Rhinolophus ferrumequinum: one gene and its partners. The protein of the gene in region 1 purifies or fractionates together with the protein of each later gene. This does not show direct contact. Links are inferred from orthologs where the notes say so. Each region holds a gene or a part of one and is shown in the gene's direction. Other genes may lie near its edges.

Region 1 (7,338 bases):
CCCCAAACTACCTTTATCCCTAATCCTCCAGAAATAATCACTGTATTATCTATACAAAACTGAAAGACCCAACACCTTGGAGCTAGCAATTTAAGCCATAACTGCTTTATTAGGGTAACACTTTTCCCTGGGGGGGAAATAAATTTTACTGCTGCATTAGCCATCTTAATAACGTAAAACTCTGAAGATATAATTTACAACTGTTAACTTTACAAATATAAAAATTTCTATATTGACAATTAAAATGTATAAAACACCTTTATAAGATGAAGCGGGTAAAACAATTATAGGAATCAAGTATCATAATTTTAAAGTTATAATAATGAGTTACAGATTCACATCTAAACTTTGATTATTTTAAGTTACATAACACCATAAATCGAGTCATCTTTCATAAATGAGAAGAATCACGTCTCATTTTCCACTATATCCCCAGCATTTGCCTAATAGTACCATGCACCTAACAGGTATTTAAATGTTTCCTACTAAAGAACCAACCATTAAACAGTCAAAAAAGAAAACAAGAAGGTGGGTAGTAGTAGTTTATGTAGAAAAGAACAGTGGGGAAAAATTTTTTTAAAAGGTTAGGGAGATTCACCCGTTATATATTTCTTATTATAACAAAAGTTATTCTGCAATAAAACCTCACAGAGATTTACTCAGTTAAATGACAATTTATTATTGCTCCTTACCTAAGCTTTCTCTGTGTACTTCAAGTAAAAAGCCATCGTGAAAATCTGGCTCACAGGCACATGGAACAGGTTTAGAACGAAAACGCTGGTTTCGAAAATGTAAACATAAAGTAAACGTTGAACAAACTTGTCCTGGTAAAGGCTCAGGTTCTTGCAGATGTTCCAAGAAAGCTTTTCCACCCAAAACCTGAAGGTAAAGATACCTCCGTGTTGGATCAATATTAGCTGTAAAGTGTAGCAATATATATGAGGAAACTGCCAAATAATGTAAGGAATGTGAACAAGACAATAGGAAATAACAACTTGACAGAAATAAAAACAAAGACTGGGGGGAAAAAAGTAACAAATTTACAGTATACCAGGACCATTTGCACCCAAGGAAGAAAAGATACATAATATGGTATCTTTTTCTGAGTTTGTATTCTGGCTACTTTTTCTCAGCTAGAAAGGAGTCAGAGCCAAGGTTTAGGATAACTTTGCTCTTTAGTTGCTATCCAACTATCCATTCCTTCACCTCCACAAACCAACTCAATTATCTCAACTCAGCAAAGTGTACTTGTGAGATAATTACATAGCCACTAAAAAAACACAGTTGTAAAATTTTTATAAAATATATTACTAAAACATGAGAAACAGGCGGTCCTATTTTTGCTTCCACTTTGCTATACATTAAATCTTCTGATATCATGCAAAACAGAATTGAAGCTTTTTGGATTAGTCACAAAAATATAAGTATTTCATTCTGGAAAAAAAAATTGAAGTGTTTTCTATCAAATACCAAACACTACAGCACGTCTATTCACAGTACTATCCACAAGTAAATTAAGGTTAAAAAGAAATACACATACTTTTTTTTAACAACGTTGATTGTTTATCAGTAAAACAAACTGATTGTTTTGGAGAGGAAGGAAGTTCTTGATCAACACTGTCCTAGAAAGGCAGAAAAATACAAATCAGAAAACAAAAATTATAATTAAGAAATGCCAATAATGGAACTAAGAACCAAACCAAAAGAAGATAGAATAAAGCCCCTTATTTTCCTCAAACAGTTCAAATAATGAAAAGCCTGCAAAAAAGGTGATGCAACTAGTCAGTCCTACAGTTTAATGTTAAGGAACTAAACTGTCTTCAAGCAATGTCCACAGAATGCTAAAAAAAAATCCTTAATACCTCAAACAAGGTCAAACTTTCTCTAAACCTCATATAACATTTGGCTTATGATTGTACCATGAACTGATTTTAATAAGGAAGTGATATTCACACACAGCAGAAACTGTTATTAGGTCAATTTTTATACCAAATGGGTTTACAAACCTCAAAAACCAAAAAAACGAGGCTGTATTAAAATACTTATCCCCTGGTGTACTATGAAGTCCATCCAAATTCTACATTATATTTCCCAGGTATTGAGGTCACAATTTCTCATTATTGCCTCATTTTCAAAAGGCCTACTTACTAATTTGTACACTGAGAGGGAGGCTATCATTCCATTACTGACCTATTTGTCTGAAAAGCTTTAAAGATTCTTATGCAGACAATTATTTTCTTAAAGGAATTGATAATTTCTTAATCATAGATAATATTGTCCCGAGTGTTTATTTTAAAAATAAGCCTAATTTTTAAAATTATAGAATATTAGTGAAAAACAACTAGGTTATGTTTGACTAAAATATATATACTTAAAGTTACAGACTTAGAGAATAACAGGAGAAAATTCTGTCACTGTAGAGAGAGAAGAATGGTATATATGTACAATTTCATTGATACATAATCCTACATTGAATCTACATTCAATTGTAGAATTAGTTTATACTTGAAACAAGGATATTACTAGGCAAAGCTACCATATTTTGAAGTGGTTTTACTAAAAGAAGAGGCCCCAAAATATGCTTAGACTCTCAGATTTTCTCCTCTACAAGCTTACTCACAGTAACAAAATTAAGTTCTTTCATCACATCGTCAATGATTCCACGACGTCTAAGAGCTTTGATCAAATCTTCTGTTGATAACTGTTGTTGATCAGGTGCTAATTCTTCCCGTATTGTCTCAGCAAGGATTTCTCTTATTCTGCCATGGACATCCATCTACGTAGAAAACTCACATTACAATTCACATTACAAAGCAGACAAATATTGCCACTTAGTTCATTTCTTTCTAAAATACTGACAAAGAAAAGAATAATAGGAGAGTACACTAAAATCGGGAAGGCTTCTCAAACAAATAATAAATGTAAAATTGTTACCAGAATTCAAAGATAATAAAGGCGAGATTTTTAAAAGGAAAAAAAATTTTTTTAAATGAAAACTTATACTACAAATTCTAGAAATAATCTCTACTGGTTATCTACTACTTTTGTTACTATTTCCCCACAAATAACATTCAACCAAAACAATCTTTGGAGAAAGAGTATAGTATAATCAAAAGAACACAGACCGAGGGGAGGGGATCAAAGTATGACTTTCACCTTACAACTTATTAGATGTGATCTTGAGTTAACTTATTTACCTTTTATGAATCTGGAAAAAATAGTGCCGTCAAGGTTATTGTGAGGCTCAGATAAAAGACGCTAAACACTTAGTACAAAGCCTGGCATCCGAGTGCACAATAAACGGTAGGTTTTATTACTTCAGCTTAATTGCATTCAGTTGAGCACCTCAAAGATACAATGTTCTTCTTGAGCTCTGAAGTATCACAAATGCTTTCATTACAAATCCTTACTAAATTCTTTCATAACTTCTTTAAGAATTGTCAATTTGGTTCAATATCAATGACACCTGAAGTTCCACCCTTAAATTAATTCTAATTTCTGACCTTTGAATATAAACCTGCTCCAAACACAACTTATACTCGATATGACTTCCAGAAGTCATTGGTACACGCTTCATTTTCACAACTGTCCCATAATACTAACGCCGTTCTATCACCTCAGACTCTTACTAGCACTTTCTGAGCTCGTTCTCATTATCGAGCCTAGACAGTTCCTCTGGCTTCAAACCCGAAGCTTTGCACATCCCACGCTCTGCGTCTCACAGCCTTTGCTTGAGTCCCCAGCAAACAGGTGCCACAGTCGGCCGGGACAAGGGACACAAAGCTGGACACTTGGGGCCACTGGCGGGAAGAGCGCCCGCGGCCCCTCACCTTGCTCAGCTGCTGGTGGATAAGCTGCTTCAGCTCAGAGGCTTTCTCCGGAGGCAGCGACATGCTGGGGCTGGCGCCTCAACACGGATTCCCTTCGCTTCAGGTGCCCCAGCCGGCCCCAGAACGTCAGTGTGGGGTGAGCACAGAGCCGGCGCGACCACTTTCCTCGCGCAGCTCCCGCGGGGGCGCGACGCCGCATCAAGCCCGGCGCTGAGCGTGAGGCGGGGACGTGGCTGCGGCGGCGCCCAACTGTCGTTTTCAAACGGCAGCGGACAACCAGGCCTCGGAGCTGTCCCCCGCTCTGCCTGGTCAACTCCACCCACTCCTCTTCCCTCGGGGTCCCCACCTCGTGACCTCAGCTCAGCCAAACTCCTTGCCTTGCTAGTGTCTCTGGATGCGCGCTCTCCGCTCCCATTTCTCCCTCCCTCGAGGTCCCTTTCTGTTTTCTGGAACGGCAGATACGTGGACGAGCCTCTCAGGACCTCGCGCCGAGGGCTCGAAGGACCCAGTCCGCCTGGCCCCGCCCTGCCCGGGTCGCGCGGGGTTCTAGGGGCTCGAGCGTGCAGACCTTGAGAGCTCGTGGTTCTCGCTTTCTCGCCGCCCCGGTTCTTCCCAGGCCGGCACTCATCTCCTTCTTCCCACTGCAGTGCGACCATGTTTGTTCCCTACGGAGAGTCGGTCCCGGATCTCGCGGGTTTCACCCTCCTGATGGTGAGTCTCCAATTTCGCGAACTGGCTTGAGGCTGCTACCTCTCGGGAGGCGCCTGCGGTACCGCCACCCCAACTCGGGATTTTTCGTCCGGCCCTGTGAGAAAGCGAGTACTTGTTTCTATTTCGAGTTTTAAGCCTGCGCCGAAAATGTAGAGAGGTTGTCGCTGGAGGCGGCGGTCCAAATAGAACCTTTGTTGGCGCTATCACCAAACCTTGTATCTAAGTCTCCAGTTTGTGGTCTTTGTTGACTGTACAACGTAATGTGTTTGATGTTACCGATACGTTGTACATATGTGGTGCGGGACGTTCTCTTTGCTTTTTATACTAGAAAATCTTTTTTCAACTAGTTTTAGCGTCATTCTTAAGCTAGCAAGTCAGTCATTAACCAGAACATTACAATAGAGTAACAAGGCAACTTTTGCCAGTAGCTAACATATGGTTCTATCGCTCTTAAAATTGTCCATATTAATTCATTGTTTCAATAAACATTCTATGATGTGACGATATTAGAATAACACTAGGCCCATGTTCTCAAAGAGTTTACAGTCTAATAGGAAACACGTAAATCAATAAAGGCAATATATGCTAGGATAGAAGTTTTAAAAAGATACAGAAAGGCCTTAGGACTTATTGGGGGAGGGACACATGGCTCTGTTCAAAGCGTCATATGTGGAATCTTAAAAAAAAAAAAAATAGAAAGAAAGAAAAAAAAAAATAGAAAGAAAGAAAAAAACACCAAACTCATAGATTACAGAGAACAATTGGAGAGGTAGAGTGGAAGGGTGGTTGGGTGAAATGGGTGAAGTAGTCAAAAGGTACAAACCTTCAGTTTGCTAAGAGAGTAGATATTAAAAGTTTTTATCACAATAAGAAATTGTAACTGTGGTGATGGATATTAACTAAACTTATTGTGGTAATCATTTCACAGTATATACATATATCAATCATGTTATGTATCTAAAAGTGATACAGTGTTATATGTCAAAAAAGAATGATGGTAATAGAAAAATGACTTTTGGTCCGTTTTCATTGTAATGCATGAAATATCAATGAATGCCAAAATTAGTGTGCGATAGTGTTTGAGGAAGGGAATTTTCCATAATTTCACAGTATCTCCCTGAAAAATATTTATTAATCTCAAAATGGAAAAAGTACCTTTGCAGGAGCTACCTGGAGAAAAAAATGAAAAAGAAAAGCTTCATAGAGAAAGTAATGTCTAAAAGATTATTGGTGGTAACCTTAAAAAAGTTATCAGTGGAACAGTGAAGAGGGAAGCATATTAAAGTGGGTTGAATAAATGGGGAAGAGGTGGAGACGTGTATACGTATATATTTGTTCATTAATTCAGAGCTAAAGTTCCTGCTTATGTTTTAGTGGACAACCGTGGGGAATTTTGGCTATGGAAGGACACCTGGAAGTGAGGTGGTAGCTAGGGGAGTGTGTGGGATCAAGAGACGGTTTTTTACAAGGAAAGATATTAGAGTATGTGTATATGCTGATGGGAAGAATCCAGTAGTGAGGAAAAGATAGATGATACAGGAAAGTGAGGATCTAACGAAAGTAGCAAAATCGTTGAGAAGGGAAAGGGGATTACAGTGGATAACCAGCAATCAATGACAGCAATGAGAAGTGGGAGACCACTCTGAAGGACGCAGAAAAGTATGCAAAGGCCAGGAAAAAAAAATAGAATCAATAAAATTTAGATGTGCGTTAGGTATGGTTGGTAAAGGAAAAGGAAAAAGTGTCCTGGTTTAGGTAATTGGCTCAATAATTGTTTCTCTTTTCTGAAATACAAAATATGAGGACAATTTTGGGCAAAAGTTTAATTTTGTACATGTTGGATGTGAGTTACCTGTGACATAATCATGTGGAGATACACATTAGGCTCTGGAGTTTAGATGAGTATTCCAGGCTGTAGCTACAGATTTGGCAGTTGGACTATTTGAAGTCATGGGGTGTGTGTGTGTGTGTGTGTGGTGTTTTTAGTGTGAAAATAAGCTCACTCCAACATTTAGGCGCTAATAAAGCAAACAGAAAGAGGCCCCAACATCACTTTTGTTCCTACCTCACTGCCCTCCTTTATCTCTTTCAGGTCTATAAAGCAATTCTTTTCTTGACCACCCTATTTAAAATTGCAGCCAAACATATACACACACACTGACAGTCCTTTAATTTTTCTCCACTGCACTTAACACTGTATATTTTACTGGGGTTTTTTTTTGTTTGTTTGTTTACTGCAGGTAAACTACTCTCCCTAGAATGGAAGCTTTACAAAGGCAGGAACTTTTGATTTACATTCCCAGTGCCTAGAGCAACGATTGACATATAGTAGGTGTTCAGTAAGTGTTAAATCTGTAGTCTCAAAGGTGGAGGAGGTCCCTGCTGGTACCTTGCTTGCAACTACAGGAGAGTCAATATGTACCATGTTTCCCTGAAAATAAGATCTAACTGGACAATCAGCTCTAACGTGTCTTTTGGAGCAAAAATTGATATAAAACCTGGCCTTATTTTACTATAATATAAGACCAGATATGATATGATAGGATATGATATGATAGGATATGAGATCCGAGGTACCGGATCTCATACAGCGGTACCTCGGTTTTTGAATGTGATCGCTCTGGAAGACCGTTGGAGTTCTGAAACGTTCGAAAACAGCCAACAGCTAGGCCTCAGGATGTTGCACTCAGCGGAAGCTGCGTGACATGTTCAACTTTCAAGGCATGTTCAAAAACTGAAGCATTTGCTTCTGGGTTTACGGCGTTCATAAACCGAAATGTTCGTCAGTGTTTGAAAA
Region 2 (7,298 bases), on another chromosome or scaffold:
TGAGGGCCTCTTATGTGGTATCGCCCTGGATTCCAATGACCCATGGAAAGAGGGAAACTATTAAACACCCTGTACGTGTCAGGCCCTAAACTCAGCCCTTCTGCAAATGAGATGTCACTTAATCGTCCCAATTATTCAGCATACAAGAATCGGTTCCTCCAAAAGGAATGCCACAGATGAACCTCATGAGGCAGAGTGAGAGAAGCCAGACATGACGGCCACACAGTGTGTGTCCACTTACAGGAAATGTCCAGAATGGCACGTCCAGAGACAGGAAGTAGATGGGTGGTTTCCAGGAGCTGGAGGGAGGGAAGGGCGGGCAGTTCTAAGTACTTTATAACTTCCATTTATGATTTCTTCTTCGACATACGTTATTTAGAAGGATGCTTTAACTCCCAATGCATGGGAAGTTGCTTTCACATTAACTTATTTTTTAAATACTCATTATCCAGGGCTGGGCCTGTGACCCAGAACTGGCCAATACATGGATTCCATCTCCTGGCCACAGTGACTGATTCAAGGTCAGGCTCATGAACCAGGCTGTTCTCCAGAGATTCAATCCTGGCACTTTTACTGGGAGAACTGGGAAAGTAAAGCTACTGAGGTGTAGAGGCCAGTGATTTTACCACAACACAGGGACAGCTCTGTGAGAATGGAGCCAACACAATGACTGCAGAGTGAAGAGATGGGAGAAGTTGTGCGAGTCTCTGGTCTCTCAGCTGTGAGAGCCCACCTACCACCCTTTTGGGCATGAGATGGTTTCACAGGATGTCTGCCACCCACACTTGAAAAAACCCTAGTGGTACATTTTCCCTCACTCTGTAACCCAAATATAAGAAAATATCCATATCTAAGGCCCATGTCTCAGGCCTGTACCATAATTGTCACCTTCCACTGTCTGCTACCAGCTCCTCTCAGAGCCCGATGAGAGACGTGAGCATGATAATCACTTATATACGGTTTCACCTCCTACTGCGTCTCACAGACACTGGAGAGAGGGTTGTGTCTGCAAGACCGTGACTCAGGCAAGCCCTGCACAGAGCCTCCTGCGAGGCCGGGCGCCCAGGCCACAGGCCAAGGCAGCGAGCGGCGCCTTGAGCATGAATCCGTCCTAATCTCAGTGCTTGACATGCACCCAGCTGTCCTCCGGCAGGCACACTTACTGAAGGATGGGAGAACAGCTGGCCAGTGATAAATGTGACAGCTACACTCATAAAGGCCTGGTGACCTGCTGCACGTGGGCCACCTCAGCCATCAGGCAGGCGCAATCGTCATCCCCAATGAAGCTGGGAGACCAAGGGTGACTGGGCAAGTTACCCAAAAGTGCAAAGTGATGTCCAAAGAGGTTGATTGTGAATGTGGAATTCTGACCCATTCCAAGACTGTCACACACTGGTGGTCCCTACTGCTGACGTTTCCGTTACCTGAGTGCCTGCAGTCATGAGGCTGCACAGGAAAATAGAAATCGTCGCAACGCCGTTGCACTAATGAACTGATTGTTTACACATGGGGCTCTACTCAAACCCCCATTGGGGGTAGACCCTGAATCTCACACGCGCGTACCCAACGTTGGAAGGCCTGCAACTCACACTGTGACGCCGTGGAGTCCAGTGCAAATCAACTGCAAAGTCAAACTGGTAACCTCAAGAAAAACGCAAGATTTAGGCCACCCATAACTGTCCGACTGGGGGATGTTCAGATGGAGCCCAAAGCCATGGCAGCTGTAGGGGAGCCTGGGGTGCTGGAAAGGTGGGCAACTGAGAACACGGAAACTGACAAGGCTGCTGACAGGATGGCACTTCAACAAGAAGTGAGCTGAACAGCAAAGGATTAAGGGAGGCTCTTGGGAAGGTTGACGGCGCCATCGTACATTTCCGCAAGGGCCAGGGACTCACAGTGACTCACAATGTGTTGAGCTATCAGTTTGTTGGAAAATTATGACCCTGCCAAACCGACACTTGATTAATTCTTTGTTGGTTCTACAAGTTAGCATATAATTGCATTCATAACCTAAAATTCCTTGAATATAAGACAAATTCAAGATCTTCTCCCCTTTTTTTATTTTTCAAGATGAATTCTCAAATTCTCTTTCCCCACTATTGACACCGTTACCACCTGATTTCCTTTTTAAGTGAATTCGCTTAGGGATCTTTCCAGTCCAATGACCGCCTTGCGCTGGAGAACAGTCTACAGCAGACAGTGAGCTGCTCCACAGTTCTGAGTGATGCATTCTGCCCGCATACCCAGGAGGTCCCCAGGAAGCCAGCCCCTGGACCGCCACCGCCCAGGCCAGGACAGCCTTCCCGCCTCTCACTTCTTTCCTGCTCAGTCTTTAGCAAAGATCTACACCAAAAAACAGTCCAATGAAAGCACTTACGTATTTGCTTAAGCGTCATCCAAACATGGCCCACTTTGCTCTTCAGCATCTCTTTTATAAAGGTGATAGGTCATTTCAGAGGTGGTATTGTGGGGGCACCAGATTCCTTGTGTCTATTTATCTAGAGAGAGAGAACGCACAGTAAGTGAATAAAAATGAATGAATCTTTTGAAGGTTTCACACAGCAAAGCAATACATTGGCAATTTGATTTTTGGATATGTGGGGGTGGATGTGTTTAAATTTAGAACCAACAAAAACTTGGACTCCCTGAGAAATTATATGCTTCTTTCGTTTTGTGTTATTGGAACCATGAAACTCAGAATATTTCCCTCTGTGAACTGGCTGTAAGAAAGCTCAAAAACAAGTTACCTCTTGATTTTTGTGTTCGTTTTTACCATGTTTTGTATACATGCCTTTTATTTTAGGCCACCAGAAATCATTTTAGCAGGAGCATGCTTCACTGGATTTGATTGGGTTTTGTAAGGAGTTAAGTTACTAGACAAAGGAGTAAATGGTGGCCAAGGCTCCCTAAGGGGTATGCGGTGTGGACAGGCTGGGCTGGGGGTGGTGCGCCTTGATGAGGCTGTCAGGAAACTAGACAGAAAGTTGTGAGTGTGGGGTTTCAAGGGATGTTAACCCCGGAGGAAGACTCTCAAGGCTCAGATTGCTGTGGTTAGCACAAGGACCCCCCCCCCATTCTGCCAATAACACTTCCGGTTTGGAGAAGGATGAGCAGTGGTACGGGATGGGGGTGCTCTCAAGGGTCCTGGGGAGAACCAGAAATCATCCTGCTACAGGGGCAGCACTGTTCTCTCCTCTTCCCCTTTACTTGGGCATATGTGACATGAGACCAGTAATTAGGGTAAAGGTTTGCAGCTCATATCCAGGCCTATCAGCTTTGGGACCTTGGGCAAATTCTCAGAACCTGAACATCCTGTCTATAAAATGGAACAATAGTGTTCCTACTTAAGGGGTTAAGATTAAATGGGTTACTATATATAAACCTCTTACAACGACGTCTAGCACATATTAAGTACCAAATAAACGTTAGCTGTTCTCGTTATTGTCTTGGACACAAAAGGACATCCCAGATGGGCTTGGGGGTGCAGAGTCCCCAGCACCAACTGGGGGGTTAAAGGGCTCTGTGTTACTTCAGGGCAGAGAGCTTTGACAAAAATTCGCTCCTAGACCGGACTCTACTCAGACTCCCCTGAACTCTAGTTCAACTAGGCCTCTACTTTTGGACTCTGTGTTGTCTCTGCAGTTTCCAATTTTAGCAAGAATCTCCCTTCCTCCTTATCTGACTACCCTCCCCCATCTCCCTGGCGGTCTGATCACCTTGACCTGCCAGCAGCAAGCCCACTGCTAGGCTGGTGGGGCTAGCCTCCCCCCGCCCCTGCTGTTTCCTCTTAGTAACTTCCAGCCCACTGACCCCTCCCTGCTCCTCCGCTGTGAATTCCCACTGGCCCACGTTGTAGTTGGGATTGAGCTCGTTCTATACTGAGGTCTCTTCTGCCCTCGTGCAATAGTCCTTGTGCATGAAAAACGGTTTCTAGGGAAAGTCACTTCACAGGGTGATCGTATCATGAATTCCTCACTGAGCAGGTCATGGTGGGTAGTCAGTAGTCACATCCCCCAGGCATGCGCCTTTAGTAAAAGGTTTATGTCTGCCTTAAGCACCCCTGTCCATCTTCTTGCGCACCGCGGCTAACACACCTCGAGGCAAGCGAGCACGTCATCTAAACTCCCCTCGGCCCGTCCCCACCTGCCTTCCTCCCACCTCCACGTCATCTTCGTTCGCGCCTTAATTTCAAATTCATAAAAGAAACTGCAAACTGTCTCTCCGGAGCCTGTGAGATCTTGCTCCCCGGCAACTGTCACCAGTCTGGCTCCAATGAACGCTTACAAAAACTCTCTACAGGTTTGGGCGTTTTCTTACGTGCACATGCTGAAAACTGTTTTCAGGAGTTAAACCTTTCAGCTCCGGTTTTTCTCTGACAGCTCCCTGCGCTATGTGAAGGGTCCTAGAACCCAAGGCCAAGGGGCCGGAGATCCCCTTCCTGAGGCGCCCCAACCACAGAGGCACAGGGCCCCCCTCAGGAGGGCTGGAGGGCCCCCTTCTGGAGAAGCCGGAAGTCCCTTCGCTGCGGGCCCGGGGCCGAGGCCCATGGGCAGGGGCCGCTGTCCCCTTCCCCAGTCACCCGGCACCGTGTCTAGAGGCGCCCAGCCAGGCCCTTCTACGGAGCACCGCACCCCGCGGCGCAACCGCCGGGAGGCCGGGCCAGCGCACAGGCCCGGGCACCGGAAGTCCCACCAGCTAAACTTCCGGCGGTGGAAGCCGGATGAGTGGGCGGGCCTGGGCTCCGAAAGTGGAGGCGGGGCCCGCATCGCCCGCGTGCGTCACTTCCGGCCGCGCTGAGCCAGGTGAGCGCCGGCGGCGTGGCGGCGCGTGGGTGCGTGCGAGCGGGATCCACAGGGGTGGGTGTTCCCCGTGGTCCCTCCTCAGCCGCCCTCTGCCCCGCGGCCTCCGGGGTCTTCGTCCGCCGCGGGGGGGGGATGCTGCTTCTGTGGGGCCGGCGGTTTCCCGAAACACAGAAAGTAAAACCTCCGTGGGGAGCCAGAGGGGCGGCGGGCGCGGCCATCGGCTCCTGCGCGGCCTGGGCTCCTGCGGAGCTTGCTTCCGCGCCGGTGGCCGTGGCATGACTCCCGGGAGGCACGGGAGCGCGCTCAGGGGGGGAGCGGGTCGCGCGGCGATGCGGCGCGCGGGGGCCGAGCGCGTGGGAAGGGCTGCGCTCAGGAGGAAACGCGGCCCCGCAGCCCGCTCCACAGACAAAAGCGTGTTTTGACATTCCGCCTTCTCTGCCTGTCGGTATATACGTGTCTCATCAACGAATCTAGGACGTTCCCGGTGAAACCTGTATTGGGCAAACACTTGCTTTTGAATGGGCCTCCGTATGGTTCTGTTTTAATGCCAAATGGTACTTAACGTTGTAGTCGCACGGCCCACCTGACGTTGACTGACTCGCGCCTTTTCCTCTCGTCTCCCTCCCTCCCATCTTTCCTTCGTACATCAACTAAAGGTGCCATTGAAGAGACTCAACCATGGAAGGCACGCCGTTGGTGACATCAAAGCAGAAGACTGAAGTGGTGTGTGGGGTCCCCACTCAGGTGGTCTGCACAGCCTTTAGCAGTCACATCCTGGTGGTGGTGACTCAGTTTGGGAAGATGGGTACGCTGGTCTCCCTGGAGCCCACCAATGTGGCCAGTGACATCAGCAAGCCTCTGCTTACTACAAAAGTCCTCCTTGGACAGGACGAGGTAACTGGTTGGGCAGGGAACGCCGGTGGGGAGGAAACGCTGCCTCCTTGGCTGTCATTTGTAAATACAGACACGCAGTCTGGTAGGCTCCCCCCGCCGCCATCGGGTGACAGCATTTTCTGGGGCCTTTTTGGGTGTGAGGGCATCCACCTGCCCAGAGTTGACGCTTTTCCCAGCCCGTCAGCATTTTACTCAGCAGATAAGTGAAGGTATTGATTTGTAACGTGGGCCGCCCTCCTCAGGTGGACCCTGTCACGGTACACTGTGCTAATGAGTGGCTGACTTTGCTCCATTGTAGAAAGATCCTCTGTGAGATTTGACGCTTTCCCTCTGCGCATTTGTCTTTCTTGAGGCCTCCCAGATTAGAGATAGTTGGAAGAGACGGGAATCAGAAAGCACTGAGAAATTGAACGATGCCTCCTCAGCAGTGTGCTTACATGACGAGTGCTGAGTCTTGTTGAACTCTGAATCGCTGTCGTATGGAACTTCTCGGAGGGCGACTTAATGGTGGTGTGGGCAGCCGGTCTGGGTTCCTGGGGGACACTTAATGAAGGCTTTGAGGGAAGAACAGATTCCTTGCCGTTAAAGTGGTTTTCTCCCCTTCCCTTCACCAGCCCCTCATCCACGTCTATGCAAAGAACCTGGTGACATTTGTGTCTCAAGAAGCTGGAAACAGAGCGGTCCTCCTTGCGATGGCCGTGAAGGACAGAAGCATGGAGGGGCTGAAGGCCTTGAAGGAGGTGATACAGACGTGCCAGGTGTGGTGACCCTGGAGTTAGCGGCCACACCTGCTGCTCAGCGGGGCCAGGTGAAAACTCAGACCCCTCCGGGCGACTTGAAGACGACCCTGCCTTCAGTCCATCAGGAGGAGGAACTGGAGCCAGAAGAAATTCTCCTGTCTCCGGCAGACTTCTCTTTGGCTGCTGATACCATCCGTGGATGGTGGGAGGATGTGGGGTGTTGGGAGACTCGTGATTGGTCCTCACCAGGGTCCAAGGAGTTGCACATACTTGATAATGGAAAGAATGGTCGTGCCAGTTGATGTACAGAATCAGTTATTGGAGGAGAATCTGTTTGTACAAATAAGCACATAACCCAGAATGCCTCAGCAGCCTTCTTAAGGGTGGTGAGAACCTCAGTCACACGGCCAAGTTCAGTGTGGTGTGCCAGCCTGGGGGAGGCCAGCGGGGCTGACTGCCCCTTCCCGGGGCGGGGGGCGCGGTGGAGTGGGAACCCTGCGTGTGGAAGAAGGGCCTTTCCCCCAATGGCCTGGAGGTAGGAGCACGGGGAGGGCAGGCAATCCTGCTGTCAGACTGCAGGATGTCCAGGCTGGCTGAGCGTGACACCTGTGGTGGGACAGGCGGAGGGCTTCTGTGCTGTGCTGCGGCCTTGCGCTTGATCCTGAGCTCAGTGAGGAGCTGCTGAAGGGTTGCACGTCAGGTCGGGTCTGCCCTTTGGAAACAATCCCAGGAAATATTCCCAAGGATTGGCAGGAGCTTGGGGTGAGGCATTGGCTTTAGACGGCATTTACACCACAGAAGTCAGCTTCTGGCTGCCCAGGCCTCTGACAGTCGCCTGGGACCCACCGGGGCTCCGTCGTCC
Region 3 (7,699 bases), on another chromosome or scaffold:
CCCACTGGGTGATAAGCCCTATCTCCTCCTGCTGATCAGGGTGGACTTCCCCTGTCAGGATGGTGACTCTTTTTCAACTTGCTGGACTCTGGACACAGGAGCCCCAAGTGCCCAGTGGCAGCCATAACATAGCTTAGTGGAACTGTTGCTGTGTCCCCTGGTGGCAGTGTCCTCCTTTTGGGAAACAGAGCCCCTAATCTGTTTGGGAAGCACAATCCCCTAAATGTGTTGTTGGGAATGATGGGAGTTGAGGTTGCTTCTGCTTCCACTTCTTGGATCCCTGACTCATGAGGTTTTCTTGCTGGAGACACAGCATCATACAAACTTTGGTTCAAGTTGTATACAGGGTCCTGGAAGACAACTCTCCATCCTTCTAAATGATCATTTCTGAGCATTTCTACCTGCTGTGGGCAGCAGCTTGTGGGTGGCATACAGTGTGGTATGTCAGTGGCTGGAATGGGTCTGGGCCCCCTCTCCCACCTCTTTTGCTGCCTCATGTGATATTATGCGAGTGCCATGCAGGAGGACCATACTCTCTGAAAGTACTCAGATAATGGCGCCATCTGCGGCCCTGTGGACAGGGAGGGAAATCCCATACCTGAAACATGGTTATTTTCCTGTCAGAACAAATTGTTGGCCCCTCTGGCTGGAAAGAGCCCAACATCACCAACTTGCTACCATGTGGATGGTGCCATAACAGAGCCTAAGGCTAGATCTCTGTTGGTAGTTAGGACATTTGGTGGTGGCAGCAGCAAGATGGACAGCTGGGTGCAATGCTAGAGTGAGGCTGTAGTGCAGCTGCCATCCATTTGTAGCTTTTACCCCACACCGACCCATCCAAGAGCTAAACTTAGGCGTTTACCTCACTCTTCAGCTATTTCTGTGGGATCCCCGTATGGCCATAGGTGTGAACCAAAGACAGGGCATTGGTGAACTGAGGTGACTATGATATAATGCATCAATGTGATATTATGTAGAATGTCTAGACATCTAGATAGTCTAGTCTCTCAAAACTACATTCTGATAGAAGGTGAAGAATTAACATATTCTTGGGCAAAACTATAAATGAATATTTCTGTTCATCCCATGTAAATGCAAACTCTTTCTGCTCCTCTTTTCTGATTGGAATAGAAAAGAATGCATTTCCCAAATCCTTGGTCATATACCATGTACCTGAGGCCTTATTATATTGCTCTAGCAAAGATACCACATCTGCTATGGCAGCTGTAACTGGCACTGCTTCTTGGCTGAGTATGGTAGTCCAGTGCCGTCTTCCAGGATGCAGATGGTGAAGTAGAGATATGATGAGGACCACCATTACTGCATCCTTTGGTCCCCAAAGGTGGCACTAATTTTCACCATCCTCCCCTGGATGCAATGTTGATTGGCTGGGGAAGGGGCAGTTTCATAGTCTTCCACTTGGCTTTCTCCACTATGATAGCTCTTAACTCATAGGCCAAGGACTCGATGTGGTGACTGTGCCAACTTCCAACTATGTCCATTCCAATTATATATTCAGGGACCAGGCAAATGACCCCAGAGAGGTCTGTAGACCCAATGGATCCTTGGCCAGGACTCCATTTGTTGTCTGGTTCCTGTATGTTCCCACTGTAGCAGGAGGACATTGATGACACTTCAGGTCTCCAGAACTCCATTCCAACTCTGACCCTTGAAATATTTGGGTCTTCCTCTTTCCCTAGTATATGGTTATCTGAATAAATGGCCATTGGACCCTTTGGGGAAGGGCTGGGAAGTAATACGTGTATACTTGACACGGTGTTGCAGGGAACCGGGCCATTTCTTCAGTTACTGAGTTCCAGGTCTGGAAACTGATCAAGGGACCATAAGAATTTATTAGGATGACTGCACTCAGCCTCCTGATCATCTGTCCTTGATTCCTTCTGACGGTGTAAAGTAAATACTACCCTTGTAGTAGTCAGCCTCCGCTGATCCCACAGACGCTCTGGAGTGAAAATGGCCCATCACAGTTGTCCTTGTCCTGCACTGGGTCAAAATGGCCTGGCCTTTATTCTATTACCTCCATGAGTCATTGGATACGGGCTGCCCTAGGAAGTGTGTGCAGACTCTGAAGGAGGACACAGCAGAAGAATTCTGCTAACAGCATTTCCAGCAGCTGGGACAAGAAGTCCTTTCTTGAAAGGGGATGTAGGAGGGACATCTCAGAGTCCACCATAGTCGATGGAGTGAGGTTCCTGAGGACGTGGAGAAGGATAGGGTCAGAGCACAAGTAGATAGATTAAACTTTGACAAGAGGAGGCGCGTCTTTCCCTGTAAGAGAAGTAGGAGGAGGTAAGAATGGGATCAGATGAAGATGAGGGTTTGAGTAGAGGGACAAGGAATTGGGAACATCAAGCCTGATAACCTCTGTTTTCTTTATAGAATCAGAAGCAGGGTCGTCTGCTGAACTTGGGTTTGTAGGGTTAGGGCTTGAAGAGCATAGTCCTCAGGGTAAGCGAGAGAGTACACAGTCTGGGGAAGGCAGGGCAGTGTTTAAGGGGCAGCTGATGTTGAGGGGCATCACTGGTTGTTAACCATTCCTCCAGGGTCATGTGACTTCCCAGGCATGCTCAGAGCCTAGACGAAGAAGCAGAGAGGAGCATGCTTTCACTTGTGCTGCGTGGATGTTGGCGAGGAGAGTGAGGCAATAGGGTGTTAACTATTACATTTCCCCAGACAGGTCTTTAAAATCCTCTAGATATAAAGTCTCCATTTTAAAAATTGTGTTTGTCTTCTAGGAGTACAAAGCATTAGAGGGTATTAGAGTTGAGGTGAGGGTGAGATCATCTGCTCCATTAATTCAGTTTGTCAATTTGCTCTTTTGTAGATCATGCTTTTGGTGTTTTATCTATGAAATCTTTGTCTATCTAACTAAAGGTCACAAAAGTTTTCTCCTGTTTTCTTTTAGAAGTTTTATAGTCTGATGTTTTATGTTTAGGTGCATGAACCATTTGAATTCATTTTTGTGTATGATGTGAAATATGAATTGAAGTTCATTAGAACTTAAGAAAATGCAAATCACTGTGAGAAACAGTTTGTCAGGTTTTGAAAAGTTACACATATAACCACTATATGATACAACCATTCTACTAGGTATTTATCTATGAGAAATGAAAGCATATGTCCTTACAGAGACTCACTTGTACACATACGTTCATAGAAGCTTTATTGTAATATCCCCAAATGGGAAACCGCCCAAATGAACATCAACATGTGAATGGATAAACAACGGTGGAGTAGCCATACAATAGCATCCTGCTCAGCGATAAAAAGGAATGAACTATTCGTACACCCAGCAACCTAGATGAATCTCAAAATAATTATGAGTGAAAAAGAAGACAAAAAATAGTACACATTGTAGGATTCCATTTATGTAAAACTCTAGAGAATGCAAACTAATCTGTAGTGACAAAACGCAGACTCGTGGTTGGGGGAGAGACAGGAGGGATTACAAAGGGGCTTGTGGAAACCTTTGGGGGTGGTGGACATGTTCATTATCTCTATTATAGCCATGGTTTCATGGGTTATATATATGTCAAAACTTCAATTTATATACTTTAAATATGTGCAGTTATTGCATGTCAATTATATCTTAATAAAGCTGTTTAAAAATTGACCTGAAAATTAACTATATTACTGAATCACTGATAATTAGCAAATAGGACAAACCTATAAGAATACTTACTCTTTAAAATTTGAATATAGTCAACTTAAACCTATTAGAGATTTAAAAAGCAGAACTGATAGTTCTGACTTAAAATCCAACAGTCAGTTCTAACAGAATCGGACAAAATGGACCGTTTGCTTTTATTGCAATGTCCTTTAACATTCTGAAGGCTTCCTTATTTCAACTTTGTAGTGTCTCAAAGTGACTAAAATTAAAGAGTCCCTCAGGGATAATGGCCACCATTCACTGTGTTTCTCTCGTACTTGTTCATATTCCTTTCCACTTCTCTGAGAGGTACCTATTATTTCTATTTTGTAGATAAAGAAACTGAGTCTCAGAGACGTTAAAAAGTTAGTTCAAGGCTTGGACATAACTGCAGCTGCGTGTGTGTGTGTGTGTGAGAGAGAGGGAGGTCTGAATCCATAAGCGTGCCTGCTCATTCTCCCAGCAACTCAGTCCACGCAATTTTCCTTTATAGAAGCTTTCTCCCAACATCGTTGCCATTCTTCAGGCTATCTATGTCCAGGGAAGCCTGGAGTTACAGGGCTGCCAGGAGGAGGAAGATTTTGATAATCTAAACACAAGATGGTATGATAGGTGGTGGCTGCTCTCGGGTGCTTAAGGAATTACGTAATTAAAACGGGATTGTCTTTGTAGGGCGACGTGTCACGACCTGGGAAGACGTTGCCCCTAGCTCCAGCACAGCAGTGCTACTAGTCTGCACTAACTGGGGTGGCGGAGGAAGGGAACAAGCGAGGGCGAGTTCTGCCGGGCGGCGGTAGGTGCCTGTCCGGGTTGGTGACAAGAGCGGGTTTCCCTCCAGCGTTCAACGATGAACAGAAGCGCCTAGAGAAGGCGGCGGGGTGGCGCCGCCAGGATCCTGTCTGCACCGAGAGTTTGAGCTGCCTGGCCCCGCCCCTCGGCACCGCCCACCCCAGCCCTAGGCCCCGCCCACTCAAGCTCTAGGCACAGCCCACTCCCGCCCTAGGCCCCACCCACTCCGGCCCTAGGCCCCACCCACTGCCCGGGACCGAAAGCGGAGGCACACTCGGTCGCTCGGCGCTCGTCTGCTCCGGTCTGACCGGATCACCGACCGCTAGGGGGACTAGAGTTGCGGCTCCTGTGGGCCGGGGGCCCGCCGGGCGGCATGGAGGGGCAGTGGGCCTCCGCGGGTGGGGAAGTGTCCCTGCACAACTTCAGCGCGAGGCTGTGGGAGCAGCTGGTCCACTTCCACGTCATGCGGCTGACGGACTCGCTCTTCCTGTGGGTGGGGGCCACACCGCACCTGCGCAACCTCGCCGTGGCCATGTGCAGCCGCTACGTGAGTGTCGGCCTGGGCTGGGCGGGCGGAGCGCGGGTGGAGAAGAGGAGAGGACGCGGGGAGGTGCGGCGGTCCCTAGGCGGCGCGGCCAGCTGGGGGGCCGGAGTGACTGGGCGGGAGGGTGAGTGAAGGGCCTCGGCGCGGGCGTGGGCCCCGGATCCACTCCAGAACTCTTTCTGTGATGTCTTAAGGAAGGGAGGGTCTGTGTGGACCTTCACCACCCGAAGGGGGGCTGTGTGCCGTCATGCCAGCACGTGGGACCACAGGCAGGCCTCTTCCTTCGGTTCCCGCTCCTCTGCTGGCTCCCACCTCTGTGGTTGGAGTGTCCAGGGGCTTCACCGTAGGACCTCTGCTCTCCCGTTACACTCCCATCCTTGGGGTTGGCATCTGCCGTAGTTTTCATGCTCTTTCTGTATTGACCACACCGACATTTATCTGTGTTTCCAGTACAGACCTGTTTCCTGAGCGTCAGACTCCTGTGTCTCTACTTTGGAAGTCTAATAGGCATCTCATACGAGACATATTCAAGACCAGACTCTTGACTTCTTCCCCCAAAGCTGCTCCTGTAACAGCCAGCCTATCTCTGTTATGATAACTCCACTGGAACCAGGAGTTAGCCTTGATTTCTCCTTTCCACGCTCCACGTGCTGAATGGTAGCGAATCTGAGGGCACTGCCCTCAGAACACACATGTCTATACTAAGTGTTCAGAGAAAGACAAATATTGTATGATTTTCACTTATATGGAATCTGAAAAATACCCCAAACAAACACAGCAGAAACAGATTCGTAGATACAAAGAACAAACTGATGGTTGCCAGAAGGGAATGGAGTAGGGGGATGGGTAAAAAAGTTGAAGGAGAATAAGAGGTACAAACTTTCAGTTATAAAATAAGTCAGTCATAGGGATGGAATGGATAGCATGGTGAATATAGTCAACAGTATTGTAATAACTTTGTATGGTCACATGTTTTCTTGACTTACTGTGGTGACCATATCGTAAGGCATACAAATGTATAATCATCACTATGTTGTACACCTGAAACTAATATTGTATGTCAACCATACTTAAAAAAAAACAAACATACACAGAATCCGACCACAGCTCACCTCCTTCAGGCCTGGTGCCCTGGGCCAGGCCTGCAGGATCTCTCCTCCTTGGCTGATTCCCCCTTCGCTTCCTGTATTACTTTCTTAGAGCTGCTGTAATGAAGTGCCACAAACTGGGTGGCTTAAAAAACAACAGAGATTTATTCTCTTCTAGTTCTGGAGGCCAGAAGTCTGAAATCAAGGTGTTGGCAGGGCTGGTTTATCCTGGAGGCTCAGAGAGAGATTATCCCTTCCCTCTCTCCCATCTTCTGGTGTTGCTGGCAATCCTTGGTGTTCTTTGACTTGCTGCTTCCAGTGTCACGTGGCCTTCTCTGCGTGTCTCTGTCTATGTGTGTCTTTTCATAAGAACCCGAGTCGTAATAGACTAAGGGTCCACCCTATTACAGTATGACCTCATCTTAGCTGACATCTTTTTATCTGCAAAGCCCTGTTTCTAAGTCAAGTCACATCTACAGGTACTAGGGCTTAGGACGTGGACATATCTTTTTGGATATGTTCAACCCAAACAGTGCCTTACGGCCAGTTCTCCGTGGGGCAGCAGACTGCAGTTAGACATGTCATTCTTCTGCTCCAGACCTTTCCGGAGAGAAACTCAGCACAGTCCGGAGCCTTTTCTGTGACCCCCAGACCCTGCTACCTGGGAGAGCTCTCCTGCTCCTACCCTCCTGCCTGGCCTCTTGGCTGCTCTAAGCCCACTGCTGTGCCCCCAGGTGTTGCTCCCTCTGCAGTTTGTCCGTTTTATGAGTTTTTGTGTCCCTAGTGCCTGATAGGCTGCCCATTAAACCCTTGATGAGTGAATGGGGGAGGCAGCCGCAGGGAATTCCCCCTTTGCTAGGGAGGACGACCAGGCTCCATAGCCAGGGGCCTCGGGGATGGTGGGAAATCAGAGGAGGGAGGCATCAGGCAGGACCTGGGCAAAGCGTCGGGAAGGACACAGCCTCTGAATGGGGCTTCTGGATATCCTCACACAGTTTCCCCCTTGCCTTCTGGTTGCTCTTCTCATATGCCTTTCCCCTTCTTCTCAATCTTCTTTTCCTAGGTTTATTTTATTGTATTTCTTTGCTGGTGGGTACCAGCAGGTGGGCCTTTGGGCAGGTGACAATTCCAGGTCTTCCTTTATTAGAGGAGACAAGGAGGGCCTAGAGGGGCAGGGGTTTGATGGGTGTGGCTGTGTTTGGAGGTCATGGCGCCCTGGAGCCACCTAACCTTTGTCTCCTAATCCTAAGGACGCGGTCAGAGACCTGTGTAAGGCTGTGGGCTGCGTGAGGCCCAGGACCTCAGTGCGGGGAGCGTGTGAATCAGTTTCAAGGCTCCTCCTGTGGGCTGCTTTGGTGGTCTGACCGCTCGGTAGTCATAGCTCTTAGTAGTGCGAGTGTCTCAGCTGGAAAGTCACCCTCCATCGAGACTGGGGCAGGAGAAGGAAAGGAATCATTCCCACTGCCTGGCTACATTGTGTGCCTAGACATTGCCCTCCAGGGGCTGAGGACCAGGCCAGCTGGAGAGAAGAGGTGCAGGCCAAAGCTTAAGGCAGGAAAACAAAGATTCCTGTGGAATTGGGCTGGGCAGACTGACCTGTGGGCTGGC
Region 4 (7,577 bases), on another chromosome or scaffold:
GTGACACAGAGGGATGGGGCAAGGAAGACCATTGGGGAGTGCAACTGGGAGGGCCTCACCTCAACAGCTGTGGTGAACTGGATCTGGTAGAGAACAAACGTGACAAGGTTCCCACTGCTGACAGCCCCATTGGTCACCAGCTGCCCACCAATGTATAGGATTCCCACCTTCAGCAGCATCCCTGAGATCTGTGGAGAGATCACGGAGAAAAGGGGTTGTGGTAGAAATCTAACAGCGGGGCACAAAGAACCAGAATCCTTAGCGTTAATGAGATATAAAGTCCCTTTCCCCATGTAACAGCAGGACGCTCCGTAAGTAGAAAGGGAGAATGAACCATAGAGATGCCGTGCTCTTACTCAGTGACACGTGACAGAGTCACCATCATCATCACCATTATTGGCTTGTTTGGGGAGCGTCTTGCTCGTCACAGAAGGCTTACGTGAATATAATGTAAGCTAATATTCATATCAAGAGCTCTGTAAACCAGGTTATATCACTCCCACTTGTTAAAAATGAGGGAACAGTCTCAGAGAAGGTAAGTTACGAGGCCACGGTCACAGAGCTAGTAAATGGCAGCACCAAGCCAGGAGCTTCTGCTTGCTGGTCTAGGCCTCTAAAGACGCCACAGGTGCCCCCATCTTTGGCTTCTGCTATTCCCGTGGCTCTCACTAGCACATCACACAGTCCCAGCATGAAGCTAGCCCAGGTGCAGGAATTTCTGGCTCCCTGAGCACCCTCTGAGAAGCAAAGGAGGCTCTAGAAGGCATGGAATCTTCCTCAAAAGGGGGTTGGGCAGATTTTGTGTGCCACAGAGAAAGAAAGCCATCTGCTAGGTGCTTGCCTAAAAGGAGGGAGTGGGTCAGGAAGCCTGAGTAGGGTAACTGAGCCTCAGGTTGCTAGGATGAGAACACTGAAACCCCCATTGCCCAGTGGAGGAGGAGTGTGGAGCCGGGTCACGGGAAAGGGAATGGAGTCAAGGTATGTTGGGGGAAAGGGAGCAGGCCTTCATCTCCAGGTTCTCACACTAGTGGTCCAGAGGTTGACTGCATAGGCCAGGGCCTCCTTCTGGTTGAGTGTCTCCATTTCCTGCAGCTTTTGCCTAAACTTCTGGGCCTCAGCCTCCTCGTTGGCAAAGCTCCGGACTGTAGGCATAGCTGACAGGACTTCAATGGCCACCTGGCTGGACTTTGCCAGAGATTCCCGCACCTGTACTGCCAGCACCTGTGGAGACATGTCCAAGCCAGGGTTGGCAAACCATAAGGGACACTAGTACCTGAGTTACCTGGTTGGAGATAAAAGGTGAGAAGAGACAGAGGGACAGGAGAGAAGAGAAAGGGACTTGGCTATATCCCTGGGATCCTAAAGAGATCCAGAGGAGAGGAAAATGACTCAGAAGCGTGATGGGATCATATTCTTGAGATTGGTGATCGTAGTCTTAAAGACAGACTGTGGGCAGAAGTTAGAAAAGAACACACAGAGACCATGAAGACTAACAGTGAGCAATGTGGGAACACGGACTACAGGAGTGGGGAGTCCCGGGAACATGGAGAATCAGCCAGGGTGCAGAAAAGAAAGCGAAGAGGAACTGGGTCCTCCAGGTGAGGGAGATGAGTGTCTGTGTAGGTTGAGGCAACTCCTTGGACATACCTGGTACCATTTTCCCAGCTTCTTAGGCAGAAGGAAAAGCAGAGGCAGGGAGATGAGGGTGACCATGGTGAGGGACAGTGACCCCCAGAGCATGAGCCCCAAGAGACACAGCCCCCGCACCAGGTACCACAGCAATAGGCTCAGCTCCTCACTCAGAGACTCACTCAAGGTGGACGTGTCCTCTGTTACTCGAGATGTGATGGCACCTGGCAGGGGTTGGGGAAAAGAGAGAGGAGTGAATGACAGGCTCAGAGTGATGGGAGGGACCAGTAGTGAGCCGGGGTCCAGGGGGAGGGGTGTCAACATGGTGTTCTAAGGAGGCTGGGAAAAACAAGTCGGGGTACAGGGAAGTTTGGGGGTCTCAATGCAGGGAGAGTATGTTAGACAGGGAAAGTCTGGCCAAAAGCCTTCATTTTAATTGTAAAGAAATTGACGCCCATATAAATTCCCATATTTCTGTTGCTTAAAGAACTTGCATACGCCACGCTGTACACATAGGCAGGAAGAGCTTAGGCTGGTTATATCACAGCTGGAGGAAAATGGAGGGTGCTGCTAGAAAGCAGTCCAGGAAGCTTTGGGAATCAAGAGATGGGTTCTGTCCTCAAGTTCGTCTCTATCCATACGTGACCATGCAAGTGTCAGCACTTAAGAGGTTAGGCCTGTTTCCTTCTCTGTAAAATGAGGCAGTTGGACTCTGATATCAAAATGTCCAGGTTTGCAATGTTATAGTTTCCATCTAAATACATAAATAGAGATAAATTTATGAAAAAACCTTGGCTGGAAAAACTAGGCTTTTCTGAAGGTAAAGAGTACAATATTTTGCTCTTGAGGCATACCAAAAATAAGAAATGACAATGTCTATGCGAGAGAAAGAAAGAGGGAGATATCAAAGTTATAAGTACAAGGGGATCTCAGGGAATATAAATAGCATATGGATGTACAATGGAAGAGTTTCATGAGAAACCTGTTTGGTTCTGTTGGAAAAACTCTGTTTCCTGGCGCAGGACAGCCCGAAACACCTCTCCCTGCAGGTGACTGTGCACGCGGCCCATGGTGCAGTTATAGATCCCATCAGCCATGAACTCAAGCACTGCACTGGAGACAGACAGAGACAGAGGGTCAAGGGTCAATGTGTGCTCAGGGGACAGAGCAGGTCCCTGCACTTTAGACGGCAGCCTCCATTTCCACCTCCCTCTTTTGCAGCCCCCCGACCCCCCACCACCGCCTGTTCTCAGCCTTCCACCTTCAGCCCCCAGACCTGGCTATGGTGAGAATGCACATGAGAGTTATGTTTCGGGTGAAGGCAGCTGCTGCCTCATCTTGGAGAATCCAGTCAGTAAGGCGGCCGGTGAAGAAGGGAATGGCCATCTCACCTGCGATGGGACAGAAGAGATGAGTCAGTCACAGATATCAAGTCTAAACAGGCCAGCCCCAACCAGACCGCCCCCGCCAGTATCCTGGAGGGCAGCGGCAGAAAGTCCTCACAGAACACAACCCAGCACCTGAGCAGGCCGGCTTGGAACTTTAAAGCTCTGCGGCCCCACCAGACCTTGAGGAGTTTAATTAGGAAGCCTAGAGATCATGGAGTATCTTAAGATACCCTTGTATGAAAAATACTGCCTCAGCGGAAAGGACTTGCCTACCCCAGGAGGCCTAGTGAAGTGACGCCTGGGGCAGCACTGGAGTCCAGGTCTCCGTTTCCCACCCCGTCCAGGAGTGGTCTCCTCAAGACCCGAGCTGAGTCCCCTTTCTCTGACCCACATTTCCCAGAGCTCGGTAACCTATCTCACGGATCATTACTCTTGATTCCTGCCCAGTTCCCCAGCGTCCATCCCTCTGGCCCTGAACCCCCTTACCAAGGCAGGAGAGGACCAACAGGACCAGAATGAACGGGAGGCGACGTATCTCTGAGCCCAGGCAGCCTAGAAGCCGACGCACCGCGTCTCCAGAACCCCTGTGACCTCCCAGCATCCAAAGGCTCCGGAGCTTATGCCACAGGGCGGCTGCGGGCAGTGCCGCTGCGTAGCTGAGGACGAAGGCGTCCAGGCGACTTCCCCAGTGTAGTAGCCTGGTGCTGTCATTGTCCGTGGAGAACCCCCACGAGCCCAGCTCTCGGAACAAGGCAAGTCCTGGCAGAGCCAAGCCCAGCGCCGCCGCCAGTGGCTCCAAAGCAGCCAGCCATCCCTGGACTTCTTTGCTTTCACTCTTGGTGCCAACTGTTGCCCTGAGGACCCCACGGGCCCCCAGCCACAGCACTGCCCAGCGGCTCAGGCCTACTACCCAGACCCTGAGCAACGGCAGCGCGGCGGGCACCAGCAGGGATGACATTCCGGGCAGCGCCGGCCGGAGCAGCACCCAGTCGGCGAGAAGCAGCAGCGTTGACCCCAGCCACGCGAGGAAAGCTCGGGAGAGGCAGTGGCACCCGCACGGAGCGGGGGGCGCTGAGCTTGCCATGGGCGGGCGGGGGTCGCGCCCGGGCCTGGGACTCTCGGCGGTCCCCGCTGGGCCCGAGGCTCTGGGTGCTGTGGGAGTCTGTCCCGAGCGCGCGGGGACCAGCGGCCGGGCAGGGCGCGAGGGGGCGGGCGGGCGGCGCTCTCGGAAAGCCCCGGGAGCCGGCAGAGCCCGCGGTGCTGGCTAGAAGCGAGCCGTTTAGGGGAAAGGGAAAACGAAAGCGCCGCGGCACCAACCAGAGCCTCCCACTCGCCGACGCGCCGGCCCCACTCTGTCGGGAGTGGCCGTTTAATCAGTTCTGAGGTTCTGGGGAGCTGCCTTGGTGCTCCACCTCTCCATCACGCACACCCGTCCGTCCTCCTTTTCTTGCCACCTCAAGTAGGATCCACTTGTCAAGACTTCTTTACCCCAGCCTCAGAGTGGGGCTCTTTAGTCACCTGTCTCCGGGCAGATCTGCCCCACACAGGTTAGCGTCGGGGCGCTAAGCCTCACGGAGAGGACGCTGGCGCCCCCTGGCGGGCGAGGAGAGGGGGCGGGACTGTAGCGTGCGCGCAGCTGGCTGTCCCAAGTCCGAAACCAGTGCCGCAGGCGGCGAGGAGCGCGGCGCCGAGATGCTGCGGATCGGAGCGCCAACCGGGGACTTACCCCGGGCCGGAGAAGTGCACACTGGGGTAATGAGTCTGGGCGTGAGGGTCAGCAGAGGGGTGGAGGAAGTGGGGCGACAGGGGGATTCTGGAAGCGCCAAGGAGTGAATACGGAGACTAAGAGTGAGGAGGTTCCTTGTAGCACCCAGTGCTTGCACCCTGCAGTGAATCCAGGGCGTCTGTTCTGAAGGGGATCATCTTGGGGCCCGCAAAGGGCCTGGGCACGCGAGGCTGGTGGAGAAAGGGGTGCTTTGGCTCTTAGCTGGAAGCGTCAAGGGGAAGCTGCTTGCTCTAAAGCGCTTTCGCTTTCACTCTGGACTAGAGAGAGGGGCTGGTTAAATCAGGAGGGGGCTGGAGAAGGAGCAAAGAGATAAGGAAACGGTGCTCTGGATGCAATAGGACATCATTTGGGGGGTGGGGTATGGGCACTGATTGAGAAGAGCCAACTCATCACACAGAACTTTGATAAACTGGCACCTGGGCAACTTACAGCCCCAGCACTGATACTGAGGTTTCCATGGGAGCCCGTGGTGCCCTTCCCCAGCTTGGCCCAGGAGGGCACCTGCTTGGTCCAGGTGCCGCCTGCTCCCTTCCCGGTGCCTTCTCTCCCCACTCCCACGCACGTGCTGGGGGGCTTTGCCCAGGCTGGGCTCCTGGGGCAGACGGCAGCCCACCGCTGGCTGGCTTCTGCTCCCAGACTATTGCTACCATTCTTGGCTTGGGGGTACTTTATTACAGAGGAATAGCCCCGAGGATGAGTTGCCCCTGCTCTCTGGCCCTCTATTCATGGTAAATCAGTATGTGAGAGAGGACTCACGGGCGATATGCCCGGAGGGCTGGGGGGGGGGCAGAGTAACTTGGGGAGTGGTGAGAAAGAGAGTAATAATCCCACTTATAAATTAGAAAATCTCTCTCCTCACTGCCAGATGAGCAGCAGAAAGTAGGAAGTAGCAGCCAAACAGAGTGGACCTGGGTTTTAGACCTGAGTCTGTTATTAATTCTGAGTGATTGGATAAGTCACGTGCCTTCTCTATGACTCAGTTTCCTCATTTGAACGAAGGATCTTTATGCCCTTTTCCAACTCAACAGGACTAGATAAAGTGTAGCTTTATCCTCCTTTACTCTTCTTTAATTTCTTTTCTTGACCTGAAAAAGTCAGCTGAAACTCTCAAATCAAATCCTCTCTCAGTACAGATTTCTTCCCCTGACTAATGAGATATCTATTTGCCTCTTAATCAGAAATCCTTACTTGAAACCTTTGTTTTAAACTGTCTCATATGCTCCTTGCTGCTTTCTTCCTTTCCTGAGACGTGACCCTGCTGACCATGGACCCCCTCGACATTTTCCAGGGTTCAATAAACTGAAAGAGCTCACTTCTGATTAAGGGGGGGATGGGGAGGATGTAGATGGAGGATTCTGGACCCCAAAAAAGACCTGCGCTTGTTTCCCAAGGTCACGGTAACTTGCTTCGCCAAGTCTGTACCACATCTGCCATACAAGCACATGAGGTGGAGATAATTTACTTGTGAGGCTGGCTCACCGGAGCTTGGAAGAGCCCACTAAGCCAAATTTCTGCCTCTAGTAGCCTCCTCCCCACCTCTCTCTTTACAAAGGAAAAGATTCCACTTTGGAAGTTTGGGGCTTAGGGATGCAGTTCTTCCTGTGTTGTACCATGGCCAGGCTGCCATTCCCTTGAGCCGGGAGAGACAATAGAGAAAATGGGAAGATGGAGAAAAAAATCCTGTACTGGAGTTAGCTCTGGCCTGAGTTACTGTGTGACCTTGAGCCAGTCCCCTCCCCTCTCTGGGAAGGTTTCCTCTGGGAATGTGACAGGAAGGGATCAAGGCTTTTCTTGCTCCGACATTCTATCCTCTGTGTCTCTGCAGACAACCATCATGGCAGTACAGTTTGATGGGGGCGTTGTGGTGGGTTCTGACTCCCGAGTATCTGCAGGGTAAGTACCAGCTTTGGAAGAAATCTACGGGCCCCAAATATGCCTTTTCCTTACCCATTCATTAAGAGTCTGGTGAACTGGAGCTTTGGAGAAATGGAATTAACCTTTCAGAAAGATTACTAATAAGCTATTAAGTGGGTGCTTGTGTCTCTGAATTCAAGGAGGATCATACAGGGCCTGAATGCTACGTGGCCTGTCCCTGGAAGGAATAAGGTCTGAGAAGGGGATAGTGAGAGAGATTTGAGGGGCCCTCGTTCCTTCTATAGTTAGAGGCAGAAAAGATGGTTCTGACAAGATGAAATTCTGGTTTCTCATCTATCACCTATTGAACTAATTTTGTCTTCCTCCTGGTCAGTTTCCTAACATGTAAAATGACTATATGGGATTAGATCAATATTACTTACTTTATGTTTAGAACACATAACTTCCTCAAGATGGTTACTAGCAAAGAAAAATTGATGAGGAACATTAGTCGTAACTTAATATTTTTTATTTTGTTATAAAATCTGAGCCTAAAAATAAGTCTAATTTTGATTACTTGCAGTGTTTCATTTACTTCAGATGATTTTTTTGCTCCCTGCTTTGATCCAAGCATTACATTTCGTGCACTCCGTGGTCGTTCTCTTGTCAAATAAATATGAGGAACATTAGACAATTAACCTCAATCTTCCTGCAATTCTAACGCCGATGATTGTCGACCCCTCCCTGACAGAGAGGCGGTGGTGAACCGAGTGTTTGACAAGCTGTCCCCACTACACCATCGCATCTACTGTGCTCTCTCCGGTTCGGCTGCTGACGCCCAGGCTGTGGCCGACATGGCTGCCTACCAGCTGGAGCTCCATGGGTATGAAGCTTTGGGGTCCTCACACTACACCTGCTAG

The links.
Region 2: the proteins of PSMG2 (region 1) and PSMG3 purify together in Homo sapiens (affinity purification with mass spectrometry; 4 studies listed by BioGRID and IntAct, counting the BioPlex papers as one, with this or other methods). This does not show direct contact. The link is inferred for Rhinolophus ferrumequinum from reciprocal best matches to the Homo sapiens genes PSMG2 and PSMG3.
Region 3: the proteins of PSMG2 (region 1) and PSMG4 purify together in Homo sapiens (affinity purification with mass spectrometry; 3 studies listed by BioGRID and IntAct, counting the BioPlex papers as one, with this or other methods). This does not show direct contact. The link is inferred for Rhinolophus ferrumequinum from reciprocal best matches to the Homo sapiens genes PSMG2 and PSMG4.
Region 4: the proteins of PSMG2 (region 1) and PSMB9 purify together in Homo sapiens (affinity purification with mass spectrometry; 3 studies listed by BioGRID and IntAct, counting the BioPlex papers as one, with this or other methods). This does not show direct contact. The link is inferred for Rhinolophus ferrumequinum from reciprocal best matches to the Homo sapiens genes PSMG2 and PSMB9.

Annotation. Positions count from the first base shown.
Region 1 is NC_046302.1:5,541,674-5,549,011, reverse strand, and holds the start of PSMG2 (proteasome assembly chaperone 2), read left to right. Parts: upstream 1-4,337; 5' UTR 4,338-4,484; coding exon 4,485-4,541; intron 4,542-7,338. Other genes in the region: CEP76 (centrosomal protein of 76 kDa), read right to left, coding at 693-917, 1,541-1,622, 2,621-2,776, 3,831-3,893. UniProt on the Homo sapiens protein: Chaperone protein which promotes assembly of the 20S proteasome as part of a heterodimer with PSMG1.
Region 2 is NC_046307.1:43,891,539-43,898,836, forward strand, and holds PSMG3 (proteasome assembly chaperone 3), read left to right. Parts: upstream 1-4,742; 5' UTR 4,743-4,802; exon of another isoform or gene 4,803-4,856; intron 4,857-5,458; 5' UTR 5,459-5,480; coding exon 5,481-5,696; intron 5,697-6,310; coding exon 6,311-6,463; 3' UTR 6,464-6,791; downstream 6,792-7,298. UniProt on the Homo sapiens protein: Chaperone protein which promotes assembly of the 20S proteasome. May cooperate with PSMG1-PSMG2 heterodimers to orchestrate the correct assembly of proteasomes.
Region 3 is NC_046292.1:90,572,467-90,580,165, reverse strand, and holds the start of PSMG4 (proteasome assembly chaperone 4), read left to right. Parts: upstream 1-4,697; 5' UTR 4,698-4,832; coding exon 4,833-5,006; intron 5,007-7,699. UniProt on the Homo sapiens protein: Chaperone protein which promotes assembly of the 20S proteasome.
Region 4 is NC_046286.1:3,316,041-3,323,617, forward strand, and holds the start of PSMB9 (proteasome subunit beta type-9), read left to right. Parts: upstream 1-4,569; 5' UTR 4,570-4,709; coding exon 4,710-4,769; intron 4,770-6,628; coding exon 6,629-6,696; intron 6,697-7,408; coding exon 7,409-7,540; intron 7,541-7,577. Other genes in the region: TAP1 (antigen peptide transporter 1), read right to left, coding at 60-188, 1,024-1,221, 1,648-1,853, 2,612-2,742, 2,906-3,020, 3,504-4,101. UniProt on the Homo sapiens protein: The proteasome is a multicatalytic proteinase complex which is characterized by its ability to cleave peptides with Arg, Phe, Tyr, Leu, and Glu adjacent to the leaving group at neutral or slightly basic pH.